Caenorhabditis elegans: one gene and its partners. The protein of the gene in region 4 interacts with the protein of the main gene of each other region in a pairwise test. Each region holds a gene or a part of one and is shown on either strand. Other genes may lie near its edges. The genes, in order: nekl-2, abu-10, T06E6.10 and gpd-3.

Evidence for each region.
Region 1: the proteins of gpd-3 (region 4) and nekl-2 interact in a two-hybrid assay, tested with the Caenorhabditis elegans proteins (one large-scale study listed by BioGRID).
Region 2: the proteins of gpd-3 (region 4) and abu-10 interact in a two-hybrid assay, tested with the Caenorhabditis elegans proteins (one large-scale study listed by BioGRID).
Region 3: the proteins of gpd-3 (region 4) and T06E6.10 interact in a two-hybrid assay, tested with the Caenorhabditis elegans proteins (one large-scale study listed by BioGRID).

The regions. Positions count from the first base shown.
Region 1 is NC_003279.8:6,661,013-6,666,040, reverse strand, and holds nekl-2 (Serine/threonine-protein kinase nekl-2), read right to left. Parts: upstream 2,908-5,028; 5' UTR 2,836-2,907; coding exon 2,743-2,835; intron 2,567-2,742; coding exon 2,419-2,566; intron 2,372-2,418; coding exon 2,253-2,371; intron 2,208-2,252; coding exon 2,012-2,207; intron 1,968-2,011; coding exon 1,846-1,967; intron 1,755-1,845; coding exon 1,655-1,754; intron 1,609-1,654; coding exon 1,523-1,608; intron 1,164-1,522; coding exon 954-1,163; 3' UTR 881-953; downstream 1-880. Other genes in the region: ZC581.9 (Protein kinase domain-containing protein), read left to right, coding at 1-126, 645-816; ZC581.7 (Tyrosine-protein kinase), read left to right, coding at 3,754-3,770, 3,819-3,894, 4,157-4,210, 4,258-4,338, 4,387-4,533, 4,586-4,923. UniProt on the Caenorhabditis elegans protein: Probable serine/threonine-protein kinase required for the completion of molting. May play a role in endocytosis in the hypodermis syncytium.
Region 2 is NC_003284.9:3,796,166-3,800,673, reverse strand, and holds abu-10 (Activated in Blocked Unfolded protein response), read right to left. Parts: upstream 2,493-4,508; 5' UTR 2,452-2,492; coding exon 2,410-2,451; intron 2,353-2,409; coding exon 2,011-2,352; intron 1,962-2,010; coding exon 1,785-1,961; intron 1,740-1,784; coding exon 1,653-1,739; intron 1,611-1,652; coding exon 1,521-1,610; intron 1,477-1,520; coding exon 1,363-1,476; intron 1,308-1,362; coding exon 1,032-1,307; 3' UTR 933-1,031; downstream 1-932. Other genes in the region: F35A5.8 (SH3 domain-containing GRB2-like protein B1), read left to right, coding at 1-79, 179-280, 350-454.
Region 3 is NC_003283.11:15,416,085-15,420,559, reverse strand, and holds T06E6.10 (TIL domain-containing protein), read right to left. Parts: upstream 2,439-4,475; 5' UTR 2,407-2,438; coding exon 2,358-2,406; intron 2,308-2,357; coding exon 2,197-2,307; intron 2,149-2,196; coding exon 2,076-2,148; intron 1,938-2,075; coding exon 1,753-1,937; intron 1,646-1,752; coding exon 1,573-1,645; intron 1,529-1,572; coding exon 1,399-1,528; intron 1,356-1,398; coding exon 1,227-1,355; 3' UTR 1,159-1,226; downstream 1-1,158. Other genes in the region: srh-265 (Serpentine Receptor, class H), read right to left, coding at 2,944-3,225, 3,273-3,503, 3,760-3,944, 4,003-4,309.
Region 4 is NC_003284.9:3,111,324-3,115,678, reverse strand, and holds gpd-3 (Glyceraldehyde-3-phosphate dehydrogenase 3), read left to right. Parts: upstream 1-2,337; 5' UTR 2,338-2,357; coding exon 2,358-2,597; intron 2,598-2,646; coding exon 2,647-2,775; intron 2,776-2,822; coding exon 2,823-3,479; 3' UTR 3,480-3,588; downstream 3,589-4,355. Other genes in the region: mai-1 (ATPase inhibitor mai-1, mitochondrial), read left to right, coding at 114-323, 626-682; gpd-2 (Glyceraldehyde-3-phosphate dehydrogenase 2), read left to right, coding at 992-1,231, 1,281-1,409, 1,456-2,112.

The DNA of each region.
Region 1 (5,028 bases), on a different chromosome or scaffold from region 4:
TCATTCCGCAAAAGGAAGAAGACAAAGTTGGTTAGATGGATATGGTCATTCGGTTAGCTTAGAACAGAATACAAATGGATTTTTGGAAACAACTTCAAGAAACCTTGGTGATCGGAATAGTATGAAGTGAGTTTAAAGAAATCAACTACTTACATATGTCACATATTCACGGGATATAACATAAAAGACAATCAAAGAAATGCCTCGGCAAAACGTCGCAACTTCATAGCATACTCCTGCAACTTAATAAAAACATTTATATAACTTTGTAAAAAGCTGTTAAGAAGTTGCGAAAACCAACGGGATTGTGAGCGAAATTTAGCTTTACATCTGCTAAGAAATTGCAAAAGTCGTCTGAAAAGCTGCAGAAGTTTGCCTAAAAGCTAAAATGCCTAATTGTTGTTAAGAAGTTGCAAGAGTATGCTATGAAGTTAGGCCGTTTTGCCGAGTGGGTGGCTTTGAGGAGTACTGTAACTCTCAACTCCTTGTTGTTACGGTTTTTGCTACAATAATACCATGGTTATCCATTTCTCATAGGGACCTTAAAAAGGCAATTGCCTGTCAACTTGAATAAAACATACATGTACCGTAGGTTTAGGGCAAAAAACTTGCACTACATATGAATTAAAATCCAAATATTTCAGTTTCAAACAGAGGAATGCGCGCGCCTCAGAAAGACGAGCCCGAACCCGATCTCCGAATGCTGAACTGGATCCTCAACGTGAACAACCACCTGCTCGACCAAACTCATTTACAAATCTCGGCCACAACATTGTTCTCACCTACCGTAATCTTTTGTACAAAGATCATACCTAGCATACTTTGTTTTGTCCACTTTCTCATTTCCCGTACAGTAACATTTGTGATATTTTGCCCACTTCCGAATGATTGGTTTTTATGTGAAAAAATAACTTCAATTTTAATTTTAAAGAAACAAACAATTAATACAGGAGTTAATACTTTGAATGCACTTGACTTCTTGATTGTGTTCTCTGATTTGATGTTCTTCCACTTGAAAAGAATCCAGAATCAATATGAGATGGCATTGGTGTTAATTGTGTCAAATGGGTAGTTGGAGCATTTGATGATAAAGAATACGGACGAAGTGTTGATTGTGTTGGATACGTTCGAAGTCGACTGCTCAATGAAGCTGATGGCTTTCTCTGAAAAAAATAAAATTCATGACAAGTAATGAACATCATTTCAAAGTACGGCTGAAAAAAATCCGGATTCTGTGCGATCAAGTGATCATTTTTGATGTGTTACAGAGGTTTTTCAATAATTTTTTGGTTTTCCAGCACTATTTCAGAATGTAATTTATCTGGTATTTAATTAAGAAGATTAGAACAAAAGCATGCTTTTATATTTTCCGCTGTTTGACCTACAGAACTCGCTAGGAATTTATTTTTACTAGCATGACGTCGATGGTTTCTTTAAAACTGAATTATGATTCCCTGTTAAGGCCAGATAGTAAACATGACATTTTTCTCTAAATCAAAACACTAATACAATTAAAAATTACCTTATCCGTCGGTGGAGGTTCGATTCTTCCCAAATCGCAATGAATTGATATCAAATAGGGAAGAACAAGTGGATCGGAAAGCAGCTCTGAAAATTAATCGATTACATTTCCAAGTGTGGAAATTTTTTTTACGTGATACGTCCGGTCTCTTATCCGTGTGTGTTTTAAGTAAGTTTTCCACTAACATCTTCACATCGTTTGATACGTGATCTCCCAACGGGTTTTGCTTTGACTGGAAATTGAGTGATACATGATTAAATTTAAAAATTTAACATCAGGGAACAATGCAAGGGTTTTGGGACCTATCCTTTTTTGGTACATACCCGGGTGATTTTCATTACAATGGCTGGTAAATTTTCGCCGTCAAATGCTCTTTCAAGCTGAAGAAGCTCATACAAAACACATCCTAAAGACCACATGTCACTTTTTTGATTGTACGGGCGACCTGAATATTATATTTTCATGATTATTAAAATGAAATTGACATACTTTCACAAATTTCAGGGCTTAAATAGTTTGGAGTTCCAATAACAGTCGACGCTGCAGATTTCGTTCCAAGCTCCTTTGAAATTCCAAAATCCGATAGCTTCAGAACAGTCTTTCGGCGATTCATAAGAATGTTTTGAGGCTTAAGGTCACGATGAACGATATTTTTCTGGTGCATATGATTGAGTGCAATAAGAATCTTCAAAAATATTTGTTTCAGTAAAAAGTTAAGATGATAACTAACCTGTGTAAAATAATCTAAAACAGTTTTTTCGGGAAAATATTCTCTCATGTTTGAATCTTTAATCGCTCTCTGATCATTTATTAATCTCTCTAATGTTCCTCCTTCCGCGTACTGCATAACTGAACATATCGAATTTTAATTCAATTTTAAAATTAAATTTACTTACCAATTCCAAGTTGATTATCCATAATAAAAGAATCAATATACCCGATTATTAATGGATGTTGAACTTTTTTCAACAAATTTACTTCACTCTGAATGCTATTTTCCTCTTTTTCAGTCATTCCGTGAGTATTGATGAGTTTTATAATTACCTGAAAAATTAAATTATAAAGTTAGTAGATTATAACACAGTACTGCTATTTGAAAAAAAAACTGATTTTCCAATAAAATAAGTATTTCTAAAAATTGATTATTTTCCCTAAATTAAACCATACCAGGCTTCAAATGTAAAAGAGTCCAACGAAACTATTACAATTGTCTGACTAACCTTTTGATGTGATGCATCATTTTTACCGCGACACAGCCAACAAACTCCAAAAGCACCACGTCCGACGACACGCACTTTTTCATAATTGTCCATTTGAAAATAATATTTGAATAGATAGGATTCAAAACTATAAATTCTAGAAAAATGTGAAGACGTGACTAATCAGTGAAAAATAATCAATAACCGACGGTGTTCTTCTTCTGCGTCTCTCTGAAAGAACAGGTTTATTATCAAAGGGATTGGGGAAGTCATTGAAAAATGCCGCGCATTTTTTATATATCACTTGTCTCTTTGACAGATCCTAGTGGTTTTTCATGTGATAAGTTTAACCTGTAAAACGAACACACGAACACTGTTCGCTTTATTTTGGTTAACAATTTCAACGAAACGGCAAGAAATCAATCAAACAAATCAATTAATGTTTCTCTTCGAAGACATATTCTCTAAATTATAAAAGATTGTTTGACCTCAAAAAAATGGCATAAAAAACTCAATTCTAGAGAAATAATAGAAAACTTTGGCCACCTGGAGCAATGGATACACAGATAGAACGGCTATTTTTAATTGGCAGAAAGTTGGCAGACCGCCAGCAGTTAGTTGGGGGGACAAATATATAGCACCAGAGGTGTGCCATCTGCCATTTAACTGCAAATAAACTGCCGTTTATCTGCTTACACCACACAAATTTAAGCCTTTTTAAAAGTCATGTTGGCTATTATTATGCAGTATTCTGGTTTATTTCTAGGCAAAATTGCAGTTTTTGTAGGTAAAAACAAGCAGTCTTGGATACAAAATGATACATAAAAAATTTTTCATGCACTGACCAATTGAAAATTAGACTTGCAGGCAATACTAATAAATAGGAAAAAAAGAATTCTTTGTTTGAAAAATTGATTTTAATTTTAATAAAATGATGACAACGTGAACTCATTCCCTCCCCCCTCCACCTTTCAATAAAAAGGTTTTGAACTTCGCTCCAAGTTCAGTTCTTAGTTTTTATCCAACGCGGAAATGGCTAACAAAGAAAAGTGAGTTGAATTTAAATGCGGTTGTTGTTAAAATCTTCATGAATTCAGGATTCTTGAAGAGGACATTAACCTACCGTATTATCATGGTGCACTCATGAACCAGGATGCTGATCAGCTTCTAGTTGTAAGTGACAATTTAGAGGGCGCTTTATCCGTGGATCTTATGTCATTTCGTATCCACTGTACACATATTGACTCAATCAGTGACCACAATGGACCTATCGCGAGCACGCGCTCAACACAAACGTAACGTGATGAGCGTCTACAGCGATCTTACAAGGGTCCTGGTGAACACAATAACTGTCTAGATGGATTTCCAGATGGAATTGGTTTCAAATTTGAAGAACGTTGGATTTTTCAACATAAACGATTTTAATTTTTTTCAGAATGACGGTGACTACATGATTGTTGTAAAAATGAATCAGGAATTGAACAAAATGGTTTGCCAATTTAGTTTAAATAATCTTCAAAAGTGAATTTATTTCAGCAACTCTACTTGGCTGTTCGTTTGAAAAAAGGAATACGTCGTTTCGAAATCAAACGGAATCCGACTTCTGCAAAGATTGGGGTATGCATGCACCGTACTTCTAACTAACAAATTTAATATTGTTTTCAGGGAAAATCAGCTCCTAATATTGGGAAGCTGGTTGACTCAATGCAAAAAGAAACTATGGAAATCAAAGGAGAACGGGTGATCTTGAAACGTGCGATTCCCAAGGGAAAGTTCCAATTAATGCATAAAGATGTGGACTTTAAAAAGAAGGTATTAATTATTAATGAAAGAGGCTTCAATACCTGAAAACCTTAATTTTCAGCTTGGTAGTGGAGCCTACGGAACCGTCTATCTTGGCCGTCTCACCAAGAACAATACCAAAATTGCTGTAAAAAAACTTGACACTGAAGGAAACGACGAAGAATCATTAGCCGAGATGATGAAGGAAGCGAGAGTTATGCAACTCTATGACCATCCAAATATTGTAAAGTTCTATGGATACATTGTTGATGATATTCCATACTTGCTGGTTCTGGAGCTTTGTAACGGTGGATCGGTAGAGGATAAACTAGTGGAAAAGGGAGCCAAGTTGAGCACAAAGACAAGGATCATGTACACTTATCACGCTGCATGTGGGATAGAGTACTTGCACAAGAAGAAGTTAGTTTCTTTCTGATTTTTCACCCAAGACATGTGATATGATAGTGAGAGATTTTTTGTGGTTTTTTCCTCACTTCCAAAGAACTGGTTCACTGTAATCTACTT
Region 2 (4,508 bases), 690 kb from region 4:
AAGCTCGGCAATACTGGTGAACAATAGTGGCGACCCGCCAAACGGAAGGACTATGGCGGCGGCAATAGCGGCGGCCAAGGTTAGTTGGGGAAGAACTTCGTGGAAAGCGTTGTTTCCGTTCCAGTGATTTTCAATTATTTCCCATCACGAACATCTCTTCAAATTACTGATTTTCCAGCCAAGTGGCCTACTGCCGGATGACTTGGGAACCAAGCAAGCCAAAGTGATCATGGACTACGATGCAGTGCTGCCACAAGAGATCAGCGTCACCCAGAATGATGTGAGTCTTGAGAGGAGGACCCCTATTGAAACCAAATATTGTGTGAAATTACGTCTGCTCTTGTTGCAGATTCTCATCGTGTATCGCCTTCCTGGAATGGATGCGGAATATGTGATGGCTGAAAAAGGAGGAAAACGCGGAAAATTGCCTGTCAGCTATATTGAGCTGCTCTAGAAACGCTGCATTCATTAATTTATTGTCTTAGTACTTTGTTCATGTGCCAAAAATGTTTTAGTAAGGTGTCTTATTTATTGTGGAAGATCTCAATTGAAATGTGTCTATTTATTTGACTCCTCAAATGCGCTTATTATTGTATAGGTTATTTAGATTTAAAATAAATGGGAAATTTAAAGATCAAAAATTCGTTAACAATATTGAACACAATATAAAAAGTTTAGTTTTGAAGAAAACTCTCAAATCTCTTCTACGATTGCTGTTTTAGATAATGATAGAACCAACCCTTTGTGAAAATCTTCTGGTTTTCAAACTTCAAATAGAGTTTCCTAAAAGAAAATTGCATTTTTCTCAAATCTTTTTCAGTGATTTTGTTGTAATTTAGACGAAAATTGGTAATTTGAACATCATAGAAATGATTCTTAATCATTTTTTCATTTATATCTTCATTGCATATACTCATTGTGTAAAAGGAAATAATATAAAACTACTTTATGTAATGGCAATAATATTACCGAAATGTACAAATAGTTTGCGTGAAGTCGAAAAAGAAAGACATGGTCAGAAATGAGTTCGTTTAGGCGATCGATCGCTTTGCCTTGCGGTTGGTGTATCTGTATCTAAGACAGCAGGTCTGCTCGGCGCACTTGACGTATCCGCGTTGGCATACGCATTGGTTAGCATCGCAGGAAGTAGTAGCTGACGAATGTTGGGATTGTTGGTTGGTGTACGAAGCGGTGCACGATGACTGGCAAGCTGGCTGGCAAGCTGGGACGCACTGATTGATTGGTTGCGCTTGTTGAACTTGGACTTGGAAGGTTGGCTGAGCTTGTTGGGCGCAATCACAGGATGGCTGGAAGTTTAGATATCCATAGTTAATTTACTGGTCAAAAAGCAATAGTCTTTACCTGAGCCTGTTGGCAAGCGCATGGGTTTTGCTGAACAACTGGGGCACAATCACAAGCTGGCTGAGCTTGTTGGCAGCACGGGTTCTGTTGAACTGGGGCACAGTCGCAAGTTGACTGTAATTCACAAACTTAATGGAAAACTCTGGAGTGTGATTTACCTGAGCCTGTTGTTGGCAGCATGGGTTCTGCTGGACTGGAGCACAATCACAGGCTGGTTGCTGTTGGACTGGGGCACAGTCGCAGGCTGGCTGAAATTACCGGACTAAAAAAAATTGTTCAAAATGCCATACCTGAGCTTGTTGGCAGCATGGGTTCTGTTGAACTGGAGCGCAATCGCAAGATGGTTGCTGTTGGACTGGAGCGCAATCACAGGCTGGCTGAAACTTCAAAAGTTCATCCAACATTTACCAAATATATTGTACCTGAGCTTGTTGGCAACATGGGTTCTGCTGAACTGGAGCACAATCGCAAGCTGGCTGTTGAGCTTGTTGCTGACGGATCTCGATTTGGATGCAGGTCACACATGATGGGTTTTGTTGGCAGTCACAAGCTGGTTGTTGAGCAACTGGAGCACAATCACAGGCTGGTTGTTGTTGTGGCTGCAAAGATGGGTTACTTTTATTCGTCGCTCTTACATTAACAGCCTACCTGGCAGTCACAGGCTGGTTGCTGTTGAACTGGAGCGCAATCGCAGGATGGTTGCTGTTGCTGGCAGGCGCATGGATCTTGTTGAACTGGAGCACAGTTACAAGCCGGCTGCTGCTGTTGTGGCTGGCAAGCACATGGATCTTGCTGAACTGGAGCACAGTTGCACGCAGGCTGCTGCTGCTGTGGCTGGCAAGCACATGGGTCTTGAGCTGGAGCTTGTTGGACCTGAGTGTACTGAACCTGGACATTGATGGTGGATTGTTGGCAGCACGATGGTTGCTGCTGAACTGGGGCGCATGAGCAAGCCTGACGCTTTTCTCTAAGAGTTGGTGCCGAAAGTGCCTGAAAATGGCGGGGAATTTATAAATAAAATGGAATGAAAAAAAAAAGAAATCTCACCAGGGCGACAATAGCAAAAATTGAAAATGCAGAGCGGAACATTGCTGCTTTTGTTAGAGAGTATTCGAAGCCAAGCTACTACTGACAACTCAACTTTTGCTCCTCATATTTATACGCGCCCGCCGGGAGGAGTCATGGCAAGAGGGTAAGACCGGCATGCGCAAGAACAGGCGACAAAAAAGAACGAAGGCAGTTTCAATTGTGCATCAAACACAGATGAGTAGTTATGATCGGATTAGAGCACCTGTGGGAATATGGTAAGGAGGGGGAAAAAAGTTTAGTCAGAGAAAATGAAAACCGTGTGCTGAAAAAATGCGTGCACACAAATAAACATTGTTTGTTTTTGGCTTCTTGCGCACATGAAATTTTGCCGAAGACGCATACTATCCAAAGTGATGTTAGCTATAATATATTTCAGTCTAGTCTTCTAACCAGTTTAAAAACACTTCAATTGTGTCAAGAGAGATATTGGCTCACCAATTCAAAACTCGAGTCTACTAATTTTAGGCCCTACTTTACAAAAAAGTGTGACAGTTGAATCTACTGTACTTTTCCAATTTGTCAGACATTTTTTTCCTCTTTCGAGACAATAAATAACGGCCCAACGTCGCAAATGTGAATGTTTAAAAATTTTGTTTCATTCAATGTCCAGTGTTTTCCAATAGTTCACAGAATGTTCAAGTTGTAGAAGGTTCTCTTTATTCTCATTTGAAATTGTAATTTAATTTGAAAAAAATCGAGGTTAGGTTGCATTGTTAAGCTTAAATTTTTTCAAAGCATGACTAGTAAACGAACGACTATTTTGCACCGATTTGTAAAAAAAAAATTGATTATTATATCTTTTTAGTTGGAGTACCAGCAAGCTATTTTGAAGATCTTTCTTTTGTATCAAGTAATATTGTTCTGAAAGTATTTCTGAAAGGTAGTAGTTTAATATCCCATTTTCAGTAGAGCTTTTTTTCCCAATTTTTGTCTAGACCGTCTTGTAATATATCCGTTATAGTTTTCAACAATACGTGAATGTAGTGACACAGAACTTTCAATCTCCGAACACTTGCATTGAAAAGTTCAAGTGATGCGTTATTTGCAAATAGTCCGTAAATAGAGACCGCGTCATAGAAGAATACAAGCTGAGAAACTGGTTAACGCTTTCAGCTGTTGCATTTGCACAATCTCTCGTTGATTCTTCTCCCTCCCAACAAACAAATACAAAGAACCCCAATTATCACATTCTTCATTACTCAGACCGCTTGCCTTTACTTTAGATACCGGTTGAGGGGTTGAGTTGAGTTCGATTGCCGGCTGGATAAAAGGTTGCAATGTTTGTGTCTGAGGATGAAGGAAAGCAGCACAAAAAGTTGCGCCGGAATCGGATTAAAAGCTCAGGGGTGGTCATGTTACAGGAGAGTTGAGCAACGTACGAGAACCGGTACGTGAGCACTCTGTGCCGGCTCTGTTTTATCAGTGTGCCCGCAAAAACGCATGTACTTGAAATATATGTTCGTTTGATGTGATGAGGAACGTTTTCGAATTATGCGTGTTTTCAGACCATTGGGATGAGCTCAAAAGTTTGCTGGGAGGGGGGGGGGGGGAGGGTGATCTAGTTTTACATTAAATACTCATTCACTAAAAGTATGTTTCCATTAAATTTTATTTTCTGAAAATGGTCAACAATGTTTTTTTCAGTGTTTTTTTTCACGTAAGAAACATGGAGTTCTGACTTTTTCATAATTAACATCAAGGTATTAGTATTTATTGTGAATGGTTTCTCTATAAAACAAAACCTTCTGTTATTTTTAAATATGGATCTACGGTGTAGCTGCAAGCCTTTTCACAAGATGAAAAGATTTTGTAAGAAACTTTTTGAAATTTTTCAAAATGTTTTCAAAAATAAAAAAAAAATGACTGAAGTTTGCTGTAGTCTTCATTTTTGTCCACTAGTGCGTGTAACTTTATTACAAAAGTATAACAAAATCTTCTATTATTTCCAGAAACTGTTTTTTTTTTGCCTGATTGTCAGTGGAGTACACGGTTTCTATTTATTAAAAAAAAAATTAACTTGTGACCATTTTTGCATAAATAAATTGGCAAAATATAAT
Region 3 (4,475 bases), on a different chromosome or scaffold from region 4:
TGTCAATTTGCCAAAACTTTAACCGGAAATTATGGAAAATCTAAAATTTTTTCAGTTTTTTATTATGATAGTCAATTGTTTTGGATCATTATAAGTGCATTTAGACAAAATCCCCACTGACGCTACTCCACCTTTAAGACATATTTTAAAATAAAAACAATAACCTTGAATGCTAAGTCAATTGCTTGTAACTGATCAGGAGTATTCAAAAACGTGGGTAGCATAAACGTTCCAACGAAGGTGTAATTGAAAATCATCATCGGTATTCGAAAGTGACGCCAAGCCTTATTTTTGCCAAAAAACTGGTAATAACGGTTTTCGAAGATCAACAGATCGGAGTACAACACAGCTGAAAATAGACAAAAACATATTTTCAACTTTCAAAACTGTACATTTTTGAACACTAACATTGAATTAAACATAATTAATGTCATACCGAATAAAAGTGTAAACACCAAATACGCCTGAATGCCAATTGGAACTCCGAATAATGTCGTTAAAAAGCCTAAAGGGACTGCTCCGAGAACTGGGAACACTAGAAATGGAATGGTTAATGCAGTAAGTGATATATCAAATAGGATAGACCAAATATGAGCATTGAATAGAACCCATTTTACCGATTTCATTGCTTGTGGAGTTTTGAATAGAATACAATAAAGTCCAAATACTTGAAGAGGTCACGTAAAAGCGCCCATACTGTGTAGAGTATAGAAAAGAAAGTCCGGGCTTTCCATAAACATAATTTTTCAATATAATATGAAGGAGATTAATTTTCATACAACTTGAGTTGAATTTCACCTGAGCTTCAGAGGCGTACCTCGTTTTGGTGGTTAAAGTATTGCGACAGATGTTTCCGTGCACCGAGAAACAGAAATCATAATGTTTCAAGATCACGTACCGTTTTTGGAATCCTGGAATTATAGGAGGACTAATGGTTCGGAGGAAATTTGAACGTATAGACTCGGCCATTAGATCATTTTTAAAAAATATTGAGAAGTCTCAATTCAAAATTCGCCAATTTGAGCACATTGGAGTTTATACGTTCAAAATCGTCCTCTTTTATGGCATTTTCTTAACGAAACTGGCAAAGTCAAACACAATGATTACTTGAGCCTTGAAGGTTTACAGAAAACAACATCTGAAAATCCATTTGGCAACTTTAGAAAAAATTGGGCAGTTTATTATAGTTTCAGCAAAATATTTGGAAATAAAAAAGTTCTTTCTAGTTACGATTTAATACTTTTCCTCTTCTGCTCATCACACTCTTCCTGGGTAACACATTTGTCATGTTTATCGCGGAAAAATCCATTCAGACAGACGCATCCGGGAAAAGTGCACACCGCTGGGCACATTTTCTGCAAAAATTGTTTTTCTCGAATTTTTCATTGATCCACGTACCCGTTTTTCATTGCACTTGGTGTCAGAGCAAATATTTTTGCACCCAACAAAATGCTCATTCGGACCGCATCCTGGATTGAATGGCTCCGATAAAAAGTTAAGTGGAGTCTCGCATTTTGCTACTGGGTCACTGGAACATGAACAATAAAAACAATTTTAAAAAAAAGTACCTACCAGGGTGTGGTAAAGCATTGAACAGTGTGAAGAGCACACTTCTTGCCGGGTGAACATTTTGTGGTTGTACAAGCTGGAAATTCAGAAATACGCCACCGACACATTGAGGGTAGAAGCTGGCACCTAAGAAGTTGCGACCGACTTATTAAGTGCAGCAGCTGAAATCTTCCAAGCACTCACCATTTACATGAATACAAGTCGGTTTAAGCTCGCATCCGGTCATTGTAGGCGAATCCATACATCCACTTGGCCTAACCATCGCACATCCGGCTGGCGTGTCACATCGAACATCTTTACAACTTGTTCCCACTTGACGACGCTTGCGGATTTGTGTTTTTTTCGGACGACATTCAGCGATTGGGTAGCTAAAACTCATTGATTTTCGGATCATTTGAAAATTAGTTTTAAAAAATGGAGAATTTGTTATTTTATCCCTCGCAGCCGACATCTTACCGGTCATTTTTAAAAATCACTAAAAATAGTTTCGTTTAAAAAATTCCCACCATGGCGCCATAATACAGGTTACTTGGACCAATACACATTCCTCTGTTGGAGCACAGCTTTTGGTATTGCAATCTGAAATTTTTGAATTTAAAATACGTTTTTTTTCTCCGAACCGCTTACCATTCTTTTCCAAGCACTCTGGTCCTGGCTCACAGTCCGGGCAACTAGCAACCATTCCACAGCCTCCAGGGCTTCCACATCTAACATTGGCGCAAGTTATTCCAGTTTTTCCTGAAAAAAGGTTGTATGTCAGTTGCAGGCACATTTTTCAAAACTCTCACCTGTACTTGCTCCCATGATCAAAGAGCTCAGAAGTATCAACAAAATCATGGCTAGTAGCACCAGAATCACCTAAAAAATTGAATTGTATTAAGTTTTTATAAATTTTATGGTATTTTTTAAAAACGATTCTATAAAACATTTTTTAATAGTTTATAACAAATGAATTCAAATATATATTTTTATATTAAAAAAAAAGATTAGGCGTACACTATGTCGCCCGTTTACTGATGAAGGTAACAAATCACAAGTCAGAAACATCACTCGTTGAAGAAGAAATATCTGTCTCTCTCTCTAAGCCTGCTTGTAATGAAAAAAAATTGGCTGAACAAAGTTCAAGAAGGTCAGTTGGGCTATGTGAAAAAAAAGAAGAAAATTAAAACGTTTATTGAAGACAACTGTCGTGTCTGTGTGTAATATTGAATCAATTGATAACAAATTAACATATTAGAAGTTTCATGAGCCACAATTCAAACTGAAAATTAGGCTGGACCGGAAAAATGTTTTCATGTAGATTTTCAATGTGATTTATAGTGGTACAATGTATACTGGCAACATTTTTTTGCTAGCTTTTTAGAATACAATATATCAAAACAAAGAAGTATTTTGATTAGATATAATTATTCCTATTGGATTCACAATTGGCTGAGTTTTGAAACAACCGATCGAGGAGCTAATTAACCGGAAGATATTGACTACTGCTTTCTTATAAGGCTTATATGCCGAGAGCAGAATTACCGTGCAGAACGATCCACGTGCTGCCACAAAAATGAAAATAAAATTGTTGGCAATGGGATTGTAGTAGTTTGTGAAACAAGAATACAACATATATACGTATGGAGTAAAACAAGTCAAGAAAAATGCCCCGCTCTGAATTTATTATTTCAACTTTGGTGAGAGTTTTTTTTTTGGCTCACCTGTGCATATAAAGCCATTAAGAACTTCAACTGAAGTTGCATTGTTTGCCGTGACTGCGTTGATTTCTTGATTGACGATCTCACATTCCAATCAGTTATTAAAATCAAAGGAACAAATTCCGTAAGTTGAAATGCTGTGATGAAGATGAAAGATCCCAGAAAAAGTTTGAAATCTGTTGCCCATATGAAAAAGTTCATGGATCTGAGTTCAACGGGAAGGTTCGGAACTTGCTGAAATATACTGTTCATAATTTGGCTAAAATGCATGTTTATACTTATTTCAATTATGATAACTTAACATAAACATATGCCAAATTTACCCGGCACATTGTCAGCTATCTCTCACCTAGAAAGTTTTAAGTTTGTTCTAACTGGTGGCGTTAGTGACGGCGTAAAGCCGATGATGGAACTCGAAGGCAGGCGGAAGCGCCTCGTCGGAGCATATATAGAAAGCCTAGTTCAGCTACTACTACAAATAAACGGTCACCTTGAAAGCTAAATCAATAGCTTGTAACTGATCAGGAGTATTCAAAAACGTCGGAAGCATGAAAATTCCAACGGCACCATAATTAATGATAATGAATGGAACGCGAAAGTGCCGCCAACTTTTGTTTTTTGCAAATAATTGATAGTAGCGATTTTCGAAGATCAGCATGTCTGAGAACAAGACCGCTGAAAGTTGAGATTAATTTGATTAAAAAGTGGAGTTTGAAAATGAGTGGCGTCATACTGAATAGAAGTGTGAACACCAAATATGCCTGAATATCAATTGGAACTCCGAATAATGTCGTTAGAAAACCTAGTGGAACTGTTCCGAGAACTGGAAAAACTAGAAATGTGATGGTTAGTGCAGTAACTGTTATATCGAAGATAAGGGACCAAATATGAGAATTCAAAAGTACCCATTTGACAGAATTCATTGTTTGTGGTGTTTTGAATAGAATGCAATAAAGACCGAGTATTTGGAGAGGGCAAGTGACAGCTCCCATTCCATGTAGAGAATAAAATAAGAAATCCGGACTTTCCATAAACATCATTTTTGAATCAAAAAGTAGAATGGGATCAATAAGACTTTTAAGTTTCACCTGAGCTTTTAAGGAGTATTTTATATTGAAGTTTCGACAGGTGTTTTCTAACACCCAGAAACAAAAATCACAGTTTCGTACAAAATATGGCATTACTTTTTTGGAATCTAACAAATCT
Region 4 (4,355 bases):
AAAAGGCATGCTCCCTTCGACGTCTTCTTGACAGCTTTCTTCTTTCGCTTCTCTTTACTTTTGGAGCCATGCTCATATAATCCAGTTAGTTCATTTCCAGGAAATCAAAACAGATGTCAGGATCTGGAAGTGGAAGTGGTGCTGGACATGGTGGAGGCTCCGGCGGCTCAATCCGTGAAGCAGGTGGATCACTCGGCATGATGGGCGCCACCAGAGAAGAAGAATACTTCCGAAGACAACAAAAAGATCAGTTGGACAATCTCAAGAAGAAGCTTGAAGCAGATATGACGCAAAGCCAACAGGAAATTCGGGATCATGAAAAGGTACGAGACACTCCATTTAAGGAAAACACGCAGGAAAATATTGTTGTTGATTAACTCGTTATTCTTTGATGTGTCACATGACACTGCCGAAACTCTTATCTGCGAAAGTGGCGTGTTCTAGAACTGATTCAAAATAGACCGGGGACTCCTTTCGAATCTCTCTATTTTACACAGTTGACCTTGATATGTTAGAGAGACGGGCGACTAGCGAGCATAATGAAGAGATAGATTGGTTTTCACAAACAATCTCTTTTTTTTTGTTTTCCACTACCTTTCAACGTTCTTCAATACTTTCATTTCAGGTTCTCGAACAACATCAGCAACGACTGAAGGAAATCGAGAAAGGACACGGAACATAAAAAATAGAGGGCTTTTCAAACGGCTCTCTGTTCTTTTTGCATCATCATTTTCAATTTTCCCTTTCTTTTTATGCATACTTATTCTCTCCTCTCTATTTTCTCTCTCACACCGCATTTCTTCATCTTGCCTATTGCATCATTTTTTTTTCGCTTACTGCACATGTTTCGTCAAATAGTAAACATGGTTTTTATGGCTTCACTTCATATTCTTCTCTCTTCAATTTGATTCGATTTTCATTTCGATCATTCTATTTTTATTTGTCGTTTGTATGTTAGTTGAACTGATTGTAGTAGTATCAATTTTCAGCCATGCCAAAGCCAAGTGTCGGAATCAACGGATTCGGAAGAATCGGACGTCTTGTCCTCCGCGCCGCTGTCGAGAAGGACAGTGTCAACGTTGTTGCCGTCAACGATCCATTCATCTCCATCGACTACATGGTCTACTTGTTCCAGTACGACTCCACCCACGGACGCTTCAAGGGAACCGTTGCTCACGAGGGAGACTACCTTCTTGTCGCCAAGGAAGGGAAGTCGCAGCACAAGATCAAGGTAGAATATTTTCCAAACATATTTTGTTAAACATTCTCTTAAATTTCAGGTCTACAACTCAAGAGACCCAGCTGAAATCCAATGGGGAGCCTCTGGAGCCGACTATGTCGTTGAGTCCACCGGAGTCTTCACCACCATCGAGAAGGCCAACGCTCACTTGAAGGGAGGAGCCAAGAAGGTAACTTGTAATCAACTTTTGTGCATAAATATATTTAAATTTTTAGGTCATCATCTCTGCTCCATCTGCTGATGCTCCAATGTTCGTCGTCGGAGTCAACCACGAGAAGTACGATCATGCCAACGACCACATCATCTCCAATGCTTCCTGCACCACTAACTGCCTTGCTCCACTTGCCAAGGTCATCAATGACAACTTCGGAATTATTGAGGGACTTATGACCACTGTCCACGCCGTCACCGCCACCCAAAAGACTGTTGACGGACCATCAGGAAAGCTCTGGAGAGACGGACGTGGAGCTGGACAGAACATCATCCCAGCCTCTACTGGAGCCGCTAAGGCTGTTGGAAAGGTTATCCCAGAGCTCAATGGAAAGCTCACCGGAATGGCTTTCCGTGTCCCAACCCCAGATGTGTCTGTTGTTGATCTCACTGCTCGTCTTGAGAAGCCAGCTTCCCTCGATGACATCAAGAAAGTTATCAAGGCTGCCGCTGACGGACCAATGAAGGGAATTCTCGCTTACACTGAGGATCAAGTTGTCTCCACCGACTTTGTCTCCGATACCAACTCTTCCATCTTCGATGCCGGAGCATCCATCTCACTCAACCCACACTTCGTCAAGCTCGTCTCGTGGTACGATAACGAGTTCGGATACTCCAACAGAGTTGTTGATCTCATCTCGTACATCGCCACCAAGGCCTAAGCTGTCTCATCCTACTTTCACCTAGTTAACTGCTTGTCTTAAAATCTATGCTTCTCTTTAGTATCTAAAATTTTCCTAGAAGCTTACAAGTATATAAATGGTCTCTTCTCAATAAAGGTTGTATATTTATTCATCTTATTGAATCTGCCATTTCCTCGTTTTTGCGAGTTTATATACCTTCCAATTTTCTTTCTATTGTATTTTCAACTTCTAATTTTAATTCAGGGAAACTGCTTCAACGCATCATGACCAAGCCAAGTGTCGGAATCAACGGATTCGGAAGAATCGGACGTCTTGTCCTCCGCGCCGCTGTCGAGAAGGACAGTGTCAATGTTGTTGCCGTCAACGATCCATTCATCTCCATCGACTACATGGTCTACTTGTTCCAGTACGATTCCACTCACGGACGCTTCAAGGGAACCGTTGCCCACGAGGGAGACTACCTTCTTGTCGCCAAGGAAGGAAAGTCCCAGCACAAGATCAAGGTAGAATTATTTCCAATTAGATTTCACCTAATATTCTATTCAATTTCAGGTCTACAACTCAAGAGACCCAGCTGAGATCCAATGGGGAGCCTCTGGAGCCGACTATGTCGTTGAGTCCACCGGAGTCTTCACCACCATCGAGAAGGCCAATGCTCACTTGAAGGGAGGAGCCAAGAAGGTAAATTAGTGATTTAATTTTTCAAGATAAATATATTTAAATTTCAGGTCATCATCTCTGCTCCATCTGCTGATGCTCCAATGTTCGTCGTCGGAGTCAACCACGAGAAGTACGATCATGCCAACGACCACATCATCTCCAATGCTTCCTGCACCACTAACTGCCTTGCTCCACTTGCCAAGGTCATCAATGACAACTTCGGAATTATTGAGGGACTTATGACCACTGTCCACGCCGTCACCGCCACCCAAAAGACTGTTGACGGACCATCAGGAAAGCTCTGGAGAGACGGACGTGGAGCTGGACAAAACATCATCCCAGCCTCTACTGGAGCCGCTAAGGCTGTCGGCAAGGTTATCCCAGAGCTCAATGGAAAGCTCACCGGAATGGCTTTCCGTGTCCCAACCCCAGATGTCTCTGTTGTTGATCTCACTGCTCGTCTTGAGAAGCCAGCTTCCCTCGATGACATTAAGAAGGTTATCAAGGCTGCCGCTGACGGACCAATGAAGGGAATTCTCGCTTACACCGAGGATCAAGTTGTCTCCACTGACTTTGTCTCCGATACCAACTCTTCCATCTTCGATGCCGGAGCATCCATCTCACTCAACCCACACTTTGTCAAGCTCGTCTCATGGTACGATAACGAGTTCGGATACTCCAACAGAGTCGTCGACCTTATCTCCTACATTGCTACCAAGGCCTAAGCCGCTTCAAATTCTCTAAGTCTGAAATGAATCTGTAACATAATAAATTCCACATTATTGTAACTTTGATTCTCATTTTCTTTATAAGAATAAATCTTTTAGCTGGAGTAACTAAAACTGTGTTGTTGGATAGAAAGCATTTTTCAATGGCTATATCAAATTTGAAACGTTGAATTCGAACCTTTCACGAGGTTTACACTCATTTATATTCTTCGTTGTGATTGTCCGTCATACAAACCCGATTAAGTTTCCGTCTAGCCTCTATGTTTACATTAAATTGAGAAGCGATGAGAAGTGTCCAGTGTAGAGTGCAATGTGCACTCAAAATGTCGGCACATTGTCACTTTGCTAACATTTTTCCCAGAGTCATTTGGGATACTTGTGTAGTCCCAAAAAATATTAACTATTAAGCTTAGGATTAGTGCTTTTCTAAGCCTGAATAGAAAACTTATTGGAAACAATTTTTGGTCACTTATGTAGTAGATGTATCACAATATATTTTCATAGGATAACTTTTTGTAATGGTAAACTCGTGAGAAATAATTATTTGTAGACCTAAAAATTCCAGATTTAATTTTAAAAATTTAATAATATTTTGGGGTACTTCTACTTTTCATCTACCTTTCCATATTTGATATTTCATTCGCAATTATACAATCTCAGAAAATTCCTATGGTCACGTTATTCTTTGTCGTAGACAGTTGAAAGATGAAGGAAAAAACGAGAATAGATATCACAAAGTCACGTGGCAAAATCCATCAACCTGTTGTTAGTGACGTTATTTTTTGCCTCAAAATGCGGGAAACGATGTACGCATGACTCTGACGAAGTCTGCCTGCTTCTACGGGTACACTTGAAATGAAGCATAGAAAGCTG